Drosophila melanogaster: one gene and its partner. The protein of the gene in region 1 interacts with the protein of each later gene in a pairwise test. Each region holds a gene or a part of one and is shown in the gene's direction. Other genes may lie near its edges.

The links. The genes of interacting proteins can lie anywhere in the genome.
Region 2: the proteins of Rpt2 (region 1) and Prosalpha6 interact in binary tests that used the Drosophila melanogaster proteins (3 or more experiments, as listed by UniProt).

What each region holds. Positions count from the first base shown.
Region 1 is NT_033777.3:23,927,516-23,935,001, reverse strand, and holds Rpt2 (regulatory particle triple-A ATPase 2), read left to right. Parts: upstream 1-3,443; 5' UTR 3,444-3,675; coding exon 3,676-3,678; intron 3,679-3,739; coding exon 3,740-5,056; 3' UTR 5,057-5,109; downstream 5,110-7,486. Other genes in the region: CG5854 (uncharacterized protein), read right to left, coding at 70-438, 658-831, 942-975; RpS19b (ribosomal protein S19b), read left to right, coding at 1,607-1,912, 1,983-2,144; CG13599 (uncharacterized protein), read right to left, coding at 2,341-2,946, 3,008-3,289; CG31142 (uncharacterized protein), read right to left, coding at 5,110-5,487, 5,590-5,679; CG43999 (uncharacterized protein), read left to right, coding at 6,024-6,165, 6,223-6,391, 6,449-6,638; CG43998 (uncharacterized protein), read left to right, coding at 6,696-7,006, 7,068-7,218; CG13601 (uncharacterized protein), read left to right, coding at 7,434-7,486. UniProt on the Drosophila melanogaster protein: The 26S proteasome is involved in the ATP-dependent degradation of ubiquitinated proteins. The regulatory (or ATPase) complex confers ATP dependency and substrate specificity to the 26S complex.
Region 2 is NT_033779.5:10,217,343-10,224,322, forward strand, and holds Prosalpha6 (proteasome alpha6 subunit), read left to right. Parts: upstream 1-4,008; 5' UTR 4,009-4,100; coding exon 4,101-4,103; intron 4,104-4,171; coding exon 4,172-4,801; intron 4,802-4,859; coding exon 4,860-5,066; 3' UTR 5,067-5,204; downstream 5,205-6,980. Other genes in the region: Npc1a (Niemann-Pick type C-1a), read right to left, coding at 1-191, 258-476, 541-617, 674-830, 890-1,060, 1,437-1,529; Bcs1 chaperone, read left to right, coding at 5,804-6,980. UniProt on the Drosophila melanogaster protein: The proteasome is a multicatalytic proteinase complex which is characterized by its ability to cleave peptides with Arg, Phe, Tyr, Leu, and Glu adjacent to the leaving group at neutral or slightly basic pH.

The sequences.
Region 1 (7,486 bases):
GTTCGGGATTAACCCATGGGCTTTGTCAATTACATCAATTATCGGGTATCAGCGAAGAGGGACACTCACTCAAATAGCGCTTATCGCCAATGCCATAGACCACGGGCAAACGGACGACCGTGTAACTGAGATCGTCGATGTTGGCCAGTTCCTTCTCCACCTTGAGCTTCTGCTTGGCCACGCCCGTCCAGGGATCCGTCTTGCAGTCCTCTTTTAACGGCGTCTTTTCGCTGCTGTTCACACAACCAGAGCTGAGTTCCACGTATCGTTTGACCCGCTGGTTAGCCGCCTCATTGGCGCAGTTCAAACTGAGCTTCAGGATACCCTCCTTGTATACGGCATCATCCTGGTTGGCACGCGTCTCGGCCGCACAATTGATGACAATGTCCCAGGCCCGTCCAGTGGTGGGGTGTGGCGCAAAAGCCGCCTTGCATGAGGCTGTATGAAAACAAAGGGAAGCGTTCTATAACCAGTTTAGGTGCAACAAATGCATTAGGGTGGCTCGTTACGCGCAGCGATACCAAGGTGGTACTTGAAAATTCTATATCCGATAGCGCTTTCCTTTCACAAGAATGTTAATTGCGGATTTTGGATCTCCATAGGAGTTGTGATCCGCATCCTGGTGGAACGAGCCACCCTAATGTAGTGATTACCTACCGGCGTTTATTAGGTTCGCGCTGCAGAACTCCACCCGATCGCTCTCGAAGACCCGCGTCTGCTCCTCGTTTAGCCATGCCATCTGCGGAGGGGTCTTATCGGCCAGTCGTATTTCCTGCGCCAGTTCATTGTCCAGCAGATAAGTGGCCAAGTTGCGTCCAATGAAGCCGCAGCCTGCGGGAAGAGGAAGAGCAGCGATGCAGTCAGCGATGCTGATAAGCGGAAGTGTGGAGTGGGGAGCGGGGGCAGGATGACGATGAGGAGGATGCAGCGGGACCACTTACCACCCAAAATCAGAACAGTCGGCTTTTCAGACATGCTGCAGGCGCGACACGGTCAACCGGAATGCGAATGAGTCAAGTCGAAAGATATATATTTGTTAGCGCTCGAAATGCTTTTTGTTGTTTTGTTTGGCTGTATTTCTAGTGTGACCATCCCGTGATCATTCTTAAAACAAGAAATACCTTCAATGCTCCACAAGCTGGTCACCCTATGGCGCTGTATTCAAACCTCTTCGAATGCTCTTCAATTAGCGTAGAACGTTTTATTCATTTATACAAACCAAAATACAGCAGTTCTTTGATTCTTACTCCATAGGGCTTCAGTGTCATAAAATTGTCCTTGTTAGTCTACCTTAAACCCCCTGTCACCAAGAACAGTAGTTTTGCTACATTGCGTTCCTTTCCAAGTTTATAGGTTAAGTTTTCGAAAAGAATTGCCAAGTTCACCAATACTGCACGACAAAACTATCGGAAAGTAATCCTTTGGGGTCAATGACCTGGTCCCTCTTTCAAACGTCACTTGCCAATCGTCCATTTTGACTAAAGTCAGCAAACTAACCGGAAGCAAACCTTTTTCTTCTCAAAAGGTAAGACTTTTTTAAATACATACATACATATATCGGACCCATGAGCCTTAAAAACGTGCTTTCAAGAACGTAGAGAGCAACATGCCTGGAGTCACAGTAAAGGAAATCGATCAGCACGTTCTGACCAAAAACATGGCTGCTTTTCTCAAAAAATCCGGAAAAATTTTTGTGCCCGAACAGGCCGTCTATATGAAGACTGGCAAGTTCAAGGAGACTGCTCCTACCGACGACGACTGGTTCTACACTCGCTGCGCCTCTATTATGAGACACCTGTACCTGCGCAGTCCCGCCGGCGTTGGGGCCTTCACCAAGGTCTATAGCGGGCGCAAGCGCAACGGTGTTCGTCCGTCCAAGCACTGTCGCTCATCGGATGGCTGTATTCGCAAGGTGAGTGGGAAATGGTTGTACTTTAAGGTTATATTTAATATTACTTAGCATGTATCTAACACATGAGCAGGCTCTTCAAGCCTTGGAAGCTGCTAACATGGTGGAGAGGCACCCGGATGGTGGTCGTAAGCTGACTCCGCAAGGACAACGTAACTTGGATCGCATAGCCAACAAGATTGTGGCCAAGCAGCGAGAGCGCAGTGCACCAGTTTCCATGATTATCACTACCTAAGATGATAATACCAATACCACGATGGATCATCTTTGAGTGCCTTGGGTTTTCAAAACATTCTCAATAAATCGAAACCAAAAATAAAATTAAACAATTATATACATAATAAAATAACTTAATACTTGAAATATAAACGATTCGAAACTTTATTTTTGACACAAACACGCCGAATAGCAAGAATCCAAGTTATAAAATGTTAGCTAGACCACAAATCTCCCGATTTTTGGTTGCCAGGAGCTCTGAAACCGCGAACTATGACCTCGGCCTGCCACCAACCGCTGGTTTCATTTGCTGCTTTCAAAACGTCATGCTCTTCGTTGGTCTGGCTAACGTCTTCCCCAGATTTATCCAGATTCCGCACGCCAAGATCGTGGTAAATATCCATCTCCTTGCAGCAGCGTAATTCATTCGGTGTGTTTTCACTGCAATGCAGTAGATGCAGGTGTATGTTCTTGCAGCTGCGCGGAAGTTGGCTTAATATATGCTTTGGGATTAGATTAAAGGAGTCACAATGGGATCCTTGGGGTCGATCGGAGTCTGTAAGGAGCTCCATTTCTAGAAACACGTTGGTGACTTTTAGTTCGGTGGAGAATAGCCTGTACAGCTCCTCGCAGGTGAGCAGGCGGAGCAGCGCCTGGTTGATGCGACCTTCGGGCAGAGCATGGTGCTCGCAATAGTGATCTCTGGATATGGAATCATGTGGTATGTGCAGAGTATAGGCCTCCGAGGGCATGAACATATTGTTGCCAAAAAGAAATCGCAGGCTCTTCACTTCAGAGCTCCTGAAGGCTTGTCGGATGATCTGTAGGAGAGAACTGGCAAGTAAAGACCAAAAGAAGTCCTGGATGTAAGGGGAACCTCACCTCTCTCATGTCACTAATAGATTCCTTGGTGGCCTTTGCCTTAGAGCGCTGCTGGTTGCGTTGGTAATGAGCAAAGGACTCCTGATCCTTGGATTCTCCCGATTCATCAGCATCTGACCATTTATCCACATAATATTTGTATGTTTTGTACACGAAGGGGATTTGCCGGCGTTGATAGAGCAAGAAGTCCAGGATGCCATTCACGAACTCCGCTGTTGTCCCACTGGTCAGAACCTCAATGTTATCCAGTTTAAGATCAACATTCTTGACATTTTGATCCATTAAAAGGTCGCAATATAACAAATTTAAACAAATGCTCTTTTCGCACTAATTGCAAACGTTGCCAGACTGAAACATTCAGTTTGTTTACAGTAATCGATAAGTATATAAAACAGTGACTTTTAAAATTTGCTTTTTTCAAGTCTTGAATTCATTTATATTTTGGTTGTTAATCATTACTATTGTTTTAATCCGATTGCTTAAGCATTTCTTGCCTATTTTAATTTTCACGTTTTTTTAAAATATTTGTTCACCCTTAGAGTTGCCAGACCTTCATGTTTCCATAGTACGGCAACACAGCTAACGCGAATGACTAGTAATTTTGTTGCCGACAATAAAGAGTAAAAAGTTCATCAAACGTTCGGCAAAGCAGCAAGCACCAAGACAAAATGGTAAAATAGCACCTTCAGAACACCCTGAACTCATTTACGATCGGGAACAATACATTTGCAGGGACAAAACCAATCGGCTCAAGGGGGAGCTGGCGAAAAGAAAGATGACAAGGATAAAAAGAAGAAGTACGAGCCTCCAATCCCAACGCGCGTTGGCAAGAAGAAGAGGCGCGCAAAGGGTCCAGATGCGGCCATGAAGCTGCCCCAGGTCACGCCCCACACCCGCTGCCGCCTTAAGCTGCTCAAGCTGGAGCGCATCAAGGATTACCTGATGATGGAGGACGAGTTCATCCGCAACCAGGAGCGCCTGAAGCCCCAGGACGAGAAGAACGAGGAGGAGCGCTCTAAGGTTGACGATCTGCGCGGCACCCCCATGTCCGTGGGCAACCTGGAGGAGATCATCGACGACAACCACGCCATCGTGTCCACATCGGTGGGCTCCGAGCACTATGTTAGCATCCTGTCCTTCGTGGACAAGGATCAGCTGGAACCAGGCTGCTCCGTGCTGCTCAACCACAAAGTACACGCTGTAGTCGGAGTTCTCAGCGACGACACCGATCCAATGGTCACGGTGATGAAACTGGAAAAGGCTCCGCAAGAGACTTACGCAGATATCGGTGGCTTAGACACTCAGATCCAGGAGATCAAGGAGTCTGTTGAGCTGCCACTGACCCATCCCGAGTACTACGAGGAAATGGGAATCAAGCCACCCAAGGGCGTCATCCTATATGGGCCTCCTGGTACGGGCAAGACCCTGCTAGCCAAGGCAGTGGCCAACCAGACCTCGGCCACTTTCCTGCGCGTTGTAGGCTCAGAGCTGATCCAGAAGTACCTGGGCGACGGACCCAAGCTAGTTCGTGAGCTCTTCCGTGTGGCTGAGGAGCACGCTCCATCCATTGTGTTCATCGACGAAATCGATGCAGTGGGCACAAAGCGCTACGATTCAAATTCTGGTGGCGAGCGGGAGATTCAGCGTACTATGTTGGAGTTACTGAATCAGTTGGATGGTTTCGATTCGCGCGGCGATGTCAAGGTGATCATGGCCACCAATCGTATCGAGACCCTTGACCCGGCGCTCATTCGACCCGGTCGTATTGACCGCAAGATCGAGTTCCCGCTGCCCGATGAGAAGACCAAGCGCCGCATCTTTACCATCCACACATCTCGCATGACGCTGGCCGAGGACGTGAACCTTAGCGAACTGATCATGGCAAAGGACGATCTATCCGGCGCCGACATCAAGGCCATCTGTACAGAGGCTGGCTTGATGGCGCTGCGGGAACGCCGCATGAAGGTGACCAACGAGGACTTCAAGAAGTCAAAGGAGAGCGTCTTGTACCGGAAGAAGGAGGGCACGCCCGAGGGTCTTTATTTATAAGTCGCGCGAAGATATACTTTCAAGTTAATTTTGATAATTCCCAAACACATGCATTAAACCACATTAACACTAGAATCGCTCCCCGATGTGAATAAATTCGTAGTTGCCGGGAGTTGCTGTGCCAGTTTTCCTAGGAGGTCGTCCACGTAGGTCTTTTGTTTTTCGGATATAACGTTGAGTGGAGCGCCTTGATGCTCCAAATATGTGAAGTGTGCTTTATTTGTTGCATCTGCCAGTTGGAGTTTTTGATAAGCTTCTCGTTCTGCATTCCATTCGGAGCTTTCAGCTCCCGCCGCATTGCTTATGGTTTCATAGAAGGCACTCAGTTTGGCCAGTTCGAATCCAGTTTTAAAGCCATTCTCAAAGCCTTCATCGAAGCTCTCTTGGAAGACCTTTTCCCTGCCATCGGCAACGCCATCTGCATAGCTTATCTTGATAGGGAAAGGGTATTTAGAAGTCGTGTTTACTCGGCAATGTAAAGCCAGCTGATTTCATCATGAAAGCTGGCCACGCCAAATTCATTTTAAACTTACCTTTGCCACCTTTTCCTGCACACGATGATAATTAGTCGAGCTGATCTCTTTAAACTCAGTTTCATCATCAGAATCCCCAAGTGCCGACATTATTTTTTAGGAAGAATATTAAAGCATGCAGAGGTAAAGATTTAATAACAAACAAAACCAGCGTTTTAGTAACAGGTGTGACCGGGTTTTATATGCCAAATATTACCGATTCATAAACTAAACTGTCTAAACATCTTTCAAGAATCTGTTAGTTATTAAATAAGAACAAGAAGTTTAAAAAGAGTACATGTTTTAAATTGCTGGGTTTGGATATCCACAGACTTAAAGTTATTGCGACTCAGAAATTGAGTTTAGAAATAATTTGAAAAACTGATTATATGAAATTTGAAAATTTTCGGTTGTAGGGCACTTAGGGAATTCTGTCGAAACTTAGAAATTGCACAATGGTTGTGGGCGTCTTTCCACTGGCGAAACTAGCTTTACTTGCCATTAAGCACATTAGCAAGCCCATTGGCAATCTGATCAAGCAAACGGCCAAAAAGAATAAGTCATTCAAAACCCTGGTTGTTGCTCCTCCGGCGAGATGTGAGTACAATCCGTGGAATGCCCACCAGTTATCATCATAACCAGTATAATGTTCAGTATACCACGTAATTGATGTGCGCTCCAAGATGTGGATGCTGGGACTTGGACAACCTCGTCTAATTCCGCCCCTCACTGACGCGATGACTATCCAAATGGGCGGTGATATCCTGGGCGAAATGGTCATCTTCATTATTGGCGCCACGCTGATTGTAGGCGAGTTCAAAAGGTATGCAAGCCTCGATTATCTTGAAGAAATCTTGGCTTATTTCAAATATGCTTTTAGGCAAGCCAAGAATGACAGGTTGAAGCACGAAAAACACAAGATGCATCGGGAGAAGCTGGAGGAAAGAATTGGTAACCTCACCAACAAGGTCGCCCGCCAGACCAAGGAAATCAATCAGCTGAGGAGCAAGCTGGGAAGTAGGGAAACCTATACGGCATATTGCAATACAGGGGATTTGGAATGTAACTGAATTGGCCTGGAAATCTCAGTCGCCAGTATATTCGTGCTAAATTTTATGTAACGCACAATGGTGATTGGTAGTTTTCCAGTTGGAAAAATTTTCATTCATGGCGTGAAACGGATTAGCAAGCCATTCGGAGACCTTCTGATTTGGATGGGCAAGCATCATCCCTTTATACGGCGCTACATCATCATTCCGCCTGCCCAGCTCTACAACACCTTTGAGGTCCGTTCCAAGCTTCGTATGCTTCGATTAAAGCAGCCCAGGCGGATTCCACCCCTCTCCACTCCGGTCGCCACCAGATTGGGCGCTGATATGCTGAGTGAGGCTTTTGTGTTTGGCATCGGCGCGGGTCTCATATACTATGAGCTTTCAAAGTGTGAACTATTACAAATGTCTTAATAATTTGTATTCCTATACAATTATTTGTTTTTATAGAACATATACAAAAACCAAAAAACAGAACCAGGAAATTGAGGATCAAAAAAGAGTTCTAGATGAGTGCGTGGACTGTATCAGTGCAGATGTGGAACGGAACCAAAGGGAAATCAACTGGATTAAGGCAGCTCTAAAAAACGTTGAAAAATAAGGATTTATTTTTGTATAATTTTATTATGTAATAAATAAATGAGTAATTTTCAAGTTCGTCCTATCGAAAGTTGCCTATTATTTACGGTTATATTTCCAGTTTCAAATTGTCATCACTATCGTGCATCCCTGCGCACACCGCTACCTAAAACACATCTCTAATTTTGCATGAATATTTTGTAATAGTTATTAGTAAAAAATTAGTAAAGTAAAACAATGGTTATTGGCGTCTTCCCGGCGGCCAAGCTCGGCATTTTGGCCATCAAGCA
Region 2 (6,980 bases), on another chromosome or scaffold:
ATGGACGAACCTTGTGTAAACAGAAACGAGCCCATTAAGAATACTAAGACTCCCACCAAGAAGACAGCTGCCATGATGACGAAATAGGCGTCGAGTCCAACAATTTTGAAGGGCTCTGGACGGGGCGGTTCCGGCGGTCCCTGGGGACAGGATAGGTCGCAGTCCGAGCAGGAGCACGCAGGTAGTTTGCTCTACAAGCAATTTATATATTTAGCACAAAATGAAATGAATTTCCAATAAGGATAGTAGGTACATACGCTAACTGCTTGGTTGCAAGGAACGGTCGTTACATTGAGGGGCGTAAAGTTATTGCTATTTGATTTGGGCTCATGTTGAATATAGGTAATTTGAAAAGGAACATATGGATTGGTGGCATCGCCCATAAAGTTGAACCATTTTGTAGGATTGCAGCGAGATGCTGAGTAAGCGCCGCACATTAAATCAAAAGCTAATTGACCCGTTTGCGGTACAGAAACCTATTTGAACACAAACAATAATTATTTTCGATCAATGAATAATGTATATGGAATCCAGAAGTACCTGAGAGCACGATTTATAAGTCTTGTTGATGTATTCCGTTGATATATGCAAGTCAACAGAACTTATGTACTCATCACCTGAAATTCGGAATATATAATTATTCAATAATTAATAAGCTATTAATAATGATTACCTTTCTTATTTTTCTGCGTGGCCACCACATGCATGAACTCAGCCTGCTTTGGTGAACAGGTGAATTGGCAGATGTGCCGCACCAAGTTCTCCATGCAGGATGGACATCGATCCAAGATATTTCCGGCCAGCTCCACATTCTTATTAAGGAGCTCCACCTGCAAAGGCATTTGTTTGATAATTATGACGCCTGGGCAAAGCTAATGCTACTCATAACCTGATTCTTATCGCAGCAAAATTTGTTTTCGCTATTCTCCAGCAGAAATCCACAGCGTTTCTTCAGCAGCTCCAGACCGTCAGTTGCCATTTCCTTCGCTGTTCCATTGTACGGACAGTTTTGGCTGTGCGAAAAGTCATTGGTGTTGCACACGCCATACCAAACGCAGTCCTTAAAAAGTTGCAAAATAAGTTAATAACATTATAGAGCAGAGATATGTAGAGTGAGCTAAGCTAAGTTGAAGTCTGGTTTTTAGCTATCTTTTTGCTGACCCCAAATACCTTTTTCAAATTTAAATATTACTTCCAAAACTAAGTACGTCATCTCACCGCCACCCAGAGCTATAAAAATATATATTTTTTCTAATTGCCTTGCATCTGTTTTAGCTCATTCATTGTTGAGGTGAAACAACAGCTTTTCCAATACAATTTACCAGTCCATTTTCAGAAATGATTTTACGACGACTAATCTGCGCGATTAAAAACCCAGTATGCTTAATATTGATAAAATATTGAAATTTAATGATAAAAACCAAATGTTAGTTTACCTGTTTCGATGATTGAATTAGCGTAAAGAGCACAGCAGCGATGAGGATGTGTACTCCAAATGGAGATATCCTGAGCGGGGATCTTGGACTCATTCTATCACAATCGCATATCTGTAAAGAACGTTTTTGGTTAAAGTATGCACCTGGGCTTACTATTATGTATGATATTCGAAGTAAGAGTCTCGGTTTTCGACTAAGAACTGAATCAAATGTAATCCGAGCCTGGCAAATTCAACGTTTTCGCTTACACAAATAAAGTACACTTCATGCAAATTTGCGTTTAGCCAGATGAAACCGTTTTCCAACGAATTAAATAAACATTTATTCCAGCAAACCAAATATATATATACAAAATATACAACGAAGTGAGTTTTGGAACACTTGCAACTCGCAATTGCGATATCTGGCGATTAAATTGTTGTTTAGACTCTGCAGATGCGCTGCAATTCGATAAGCAGTATTCCTAATAATAGAACTGCCTCCTAAGGAAAGAATAACAATAAAACTGATTCATTGCCACGCTTCAATATCCATTCAGTTTCAGTCAATATATATTGCTGAATGGTGTAATCAAATACTCGAAATTATAATGTAATCAAAACAGTGCACATTATATGGTTGGGTGGTTTAGAATTTCGGATAATCCCTCCACTCATTAAAATAATATATACCGATATGAAAACCAAATATACCAAAATAAAAGATTGCGTTTGTTTCGAATTTGTTTAACTTTTATTTGCCAAAATGTTTTGTATTTACAAAGAAAAATGTTAGTAAAATTTTCAAAAATACCACATGTTTTGTTAGGCATGAATATGAATTAATAAAATATTATTCAAAATTTCTAAGAATGCTAAAATTAATAGCGGAATTTTGACAAAACGATGGTTAAACTTTTAATAAATTAATATTTATAAATCTTTATGACTTTGTGTCATAAAAATCAAACTAGAATATGTATTAAAATAAATTTAAGATAAATCTAAACAATTGCATTCGTATTTAAAAAAAAAGATGAATGATTTTACTATCTTGTATACTGAAAATATTCTATAAAAAATGCATGACAAAAAGAATTGAAATAGTTTTCGAAATCGTACACCTATGATTTGTGTGCTAATTGACACAAAATGCGTTTTAATATCCAAAAAACTCGTGATCCATTAAGAGCAGTTCAAGAATTGTGACCCAATGGTCAATATAGAGTGAATCCACGAACACTGAGACCATTTGATACCGACTAGCTAGGTTAACAAGGTAGCTGGGCATGGAGCTACATACATAAGTCGGGTTTGGTCTTTGACATTGATACGTTAAATTTCGCGCTAAAACGCATTGTCGTTAACTGGCTTTCGTTATATGTATCTACAATACTAAACGACTACTGAGAAAGTGATGATGCAACTAGTTGTCTGATTTTATGGAGGGGGAAATTCCATTATGCTCGCTCGCTACGTACTATGTACAACTTCTTGGGAAATCGACACAACCGCTTCGATTGCCTTTTTTCCCTTCGCCACATGCAAATTTGGCTGGTGGTCAGTCGCATTTGGTAAATGGCATCGGGAATGGGATATGATCAGCGGATTGAAATATTCTGTGCTGGTCCATTCACGATGTTTTATTTATATATTTATTTTGCGCTATTTGGATATGTAGCTAAGCGGATGTCACGGAATAAAGCAATCTTGTAGCGAAGATATGGGAATACGGACAGCGAACAGTAGCCGCATTGAAGGGCACGCAATATAAGTATACTATCACTTTCACAGAAATCGTTAATTGTAAACATTAGTAATGCGCCGAACCAATAAAAATGTTTTCTTTGTTCGTGCACATACGTATATAGGGATATTATGAGGTGTACATATGTATGTAGCGGTTTGTGTGTATGTGTGTGTGCAATGAAGTCACCTTAGTTAATTCCTTCAGTTAATTAAATTACACGGCTTTATGATTAAGGTGCGCACGAAAATCTTTCTTTCTACTAATCTTAACAATGCAATTTTGATGCTAACACTTTCGAGTGGAGGTATATATATAGGCGAGCATATACCCTCGACAAACAATCCGATTACGGAGCTACAAACCCTCGGTCCCAAAACAGGAGAGAGTGAAAACTAACTGAAATATACAATTAAAACGTAAACACTCCCACTGACAGCTTATCAGACTTAATGGCAAAACAATCGATTGTAGTCGATATGCAGTGATTCCGAATGCAAGTTGGGAACAAGCGAATGGAACAAGAAATTCATTTAATTTTTTAAGTATGCAGTTAATAAATTAAACTAAATATAACTTAATTGTTAGTTAAGTCCCGATAAGCCGTTATAGTTTAAAATTGTATTACTCACATGGTATGCTGTAATTGTTGGTCAATTAAACGTGTGTAGTCAGGTATAATGTGGTGCTGGAATTAATTTAACTACGATTAACAAGGTGCTCATACAAGTTTACTGATTATAATTAATATCATTATCCCCTTAAATTTGTATGCATATCCTACAATGTTCTATTGCATCGTTCCAAAAATGATAGCATGCCCGAATCCCTTATCGATACCCGATACACAGTTTGTTTGTGTCTCCCGGCGTGCCATAACTAACTATCGGGCATTTCTACTTGTCATCATTGAGCTCAGCGGCTTGCATTTCAAAAGTCATGGTAAAGTGTTTATTGCGAATAATGGTGTGCTAACTGCATTTGTTACAAACTCACATCTTTGCTTTCAGTTTCGCAACCAGTACGATAGCGATGTTACTGTGTGGAGTCCGCAGGGACGTCTCCACCAGGTGGAGTACGCAATGGAGGCCGTGAAACTTGGCACCGCAACCGTGGGCCTGAAAAATAAAGATTACGCTGTACTTGTCGCCCTGTGTAAGCCGACATCGGAGCTATCGGATACCCAGCGCAAGATCATCCCAATCGACGATCACCTGGGCATTTCCATTGCTGGCCTCACGGCTGATGCCCGCGTCCTTAGCCGGTACTTGCGCTCCGAGTGCCTGAACTACAAGCACTCGTACGATACAACCTATCCAGTCTCGCGTCTGATCACTAACCTGGGCAACAAGATGCAGACGACCACTCAGCGCTACGATCGCCGTCCGTATGGAGTGGGCCTTTTGGTCGCCGGCTACGATGAGAGGGGTCCGCACATCTATCAGGTCACGCCATCGGCGACCTTTTTCAATTGCAAGGCCAATTCGATCGGATCGCGTTCACAGAGTGCACGCACCTATCTGGAGAAGAATTTGAACAAGTTCTTGGACAGTTCCAAAGATGAAATCATCCGTCACGGAATTCGCGCTATACTCGGTACCCTGCCTACGGATGAGCAAGGCAAAGATGCCGGTCAGTATGTAAGTTCATTGCACATTTCCCGTCGCGAATAGTTAGTAAATTGTGTTTTTCTTGCAGGACATCACTGTGGCCATCGTCGGCAAAGACCAGCCATTCACAATTCTCTCTAATAAAGACAGCGCCAAGCATGTGGCGATTGCCAAAGAGAATGACAATGATACGCCCAGGAACGACGATGACGATGATCGCCCATCCCCCCCAGAGGAACCAGCAGCCGGACCACGCGACCCAGAAGTCCTGGTTGCAACCGAGCAGCGTCCATAGGCATTTATAGGGCTATGAAAGCATCTTAACCATTAAAAATGTAAGATTCAAGGATACAATAAAATTGTTCATGCATTTGCATAGATCCTAAAACGGAACAAACTGAATAAATGAATACAAAAAATCAATGTTATGGGTAAAATTTTTTGATTTTAATTTTAAACCTTCATTTATTATTTATTTATAGTATTTATTAAATATTGGTTTTTCGATATAAGTTTTCCCAACTTATTTGCATTTTTCCGATTTCACAGTTCGGTCACACTGTTGGATTAAAAATATTTATCAATGCCGGTATTGAAACATTTCTACTATAAAAAAATGTTGATTGCTTTTAGTGAATGACAAGTTATCCTCTAAGATGGTTTTTATGCCAAATAAAATGTGCCACTTCAGCGGCAACTTGTATATTTATTTGCTCACACCTAAATTACAATTAATTACATAACGAGAGTGATGGCAAATGGTTGATTTAAATAATAAAATTACATGGTTTTCTCATGAGAAAATAAAATTGTTGGTGCCTTTGCTGAAGCGCACGTAAACAGTATATGTTAGACTTCAGTTTTATTTGTTTAAAAAGTTGCTTCGAAAAGATGTACCATTGTTTACAGGAGGAACCCATGTTTTGGATGATAGATTAAGCAACAGGTGTTGTTTTATAGGGTTTTATTGCCGAAAAAGAGTAAAACACTTTAATTAAACGTTGATCCTTGTTCTCGGTTTTTGCAGACAAGATGACTTTGCCCGATCTTGTAGCTGGACTTTCGTCAAATCCCTACTTTGGTGCCGGTTTTGGACTATTTGGTGTGGGCGCCGCTGCTGCCATATTGCGCAAGGGCCTCCAGGGCGGAGTGATACTGTTCCGGCGGCACTGCATGATTACCCTGGAGGTGCCGTGTCGGGACAAATCCTATCAGTGGCTGTTAAAATGGATTACGATCAGAGGAGCGCGAAAAACGCAACACTTGAGCGTGGAGACAAACTTTGTGCAGAACGACAATGGCACAATCAAAACCAGCTATGACTTCATACCCAGCATAGGCAAGCATCTGTTCCAGTACAAGGGCAATTGGATTCAGGTGGAGCGGACCAGGGAACAACAGACATTGGACCTTCACATGGGTGTTCCTTGGGAGACAGTGACGCTTACAGCGTTTGGTAACAATAAAGGTATATATTTCGATATCCTCGAAGAGGCTAGGCAGCTGGCTCTGGAGGCCACAGAGGGCAAAACCGTGCTGTACACAGCGATGGGTGCGGAATGGAGACCCTTCGGACATCCGCGCAGAAGGCGTCCCACTGGATCGGTGGTGCTGGATCGCGGAACTTCGCAGCGAATCATTGCCGACTGCCAGGACTTCATTAAGAGCTCTCTGTGGTATACGCAACGTGGAATCCCCTACCGAAGAGGCTACCTTCTGTACGGGCCACCTGGTTGTGGCAAGTCTAGCTTTATAACCGCCCTGGCGGGCGAACTGGAGTACAGTGTCTGCCTGCTAAACCTATCCGAAAGAGGCCTCACCGATGATCGACTCAATCATCTCCTGAATGTTGCGCCAGAGCAGAGTATCATTCTGCTGGAGGACATCGACGCAGCATTCGTCTCGCGCGAAGCTACTCCGCAGCAGAAATCCGCCTTTGACGGTCTCAACAGGATAACGTTCAGTGGACTCCTAAATTGCTTGGACGGTGTGGGCTCCACGGAGGCCAGAATTGTCTTCATGACAACAAACTACATTGACCGCCTCGATCCCGCCTTAGTTCGTCCTGGTAGAATCGATTTAAAGGAATACATTGGCTATTGTACGCAATATCAGTTGGAGGAGATGTTCAAGAACTTCTTCGCCAGCAGTGACACCACAAAAGCCGAGGAGTTCGGAAAACGAGTGAATTCCTTTGGACGCTCCGCTA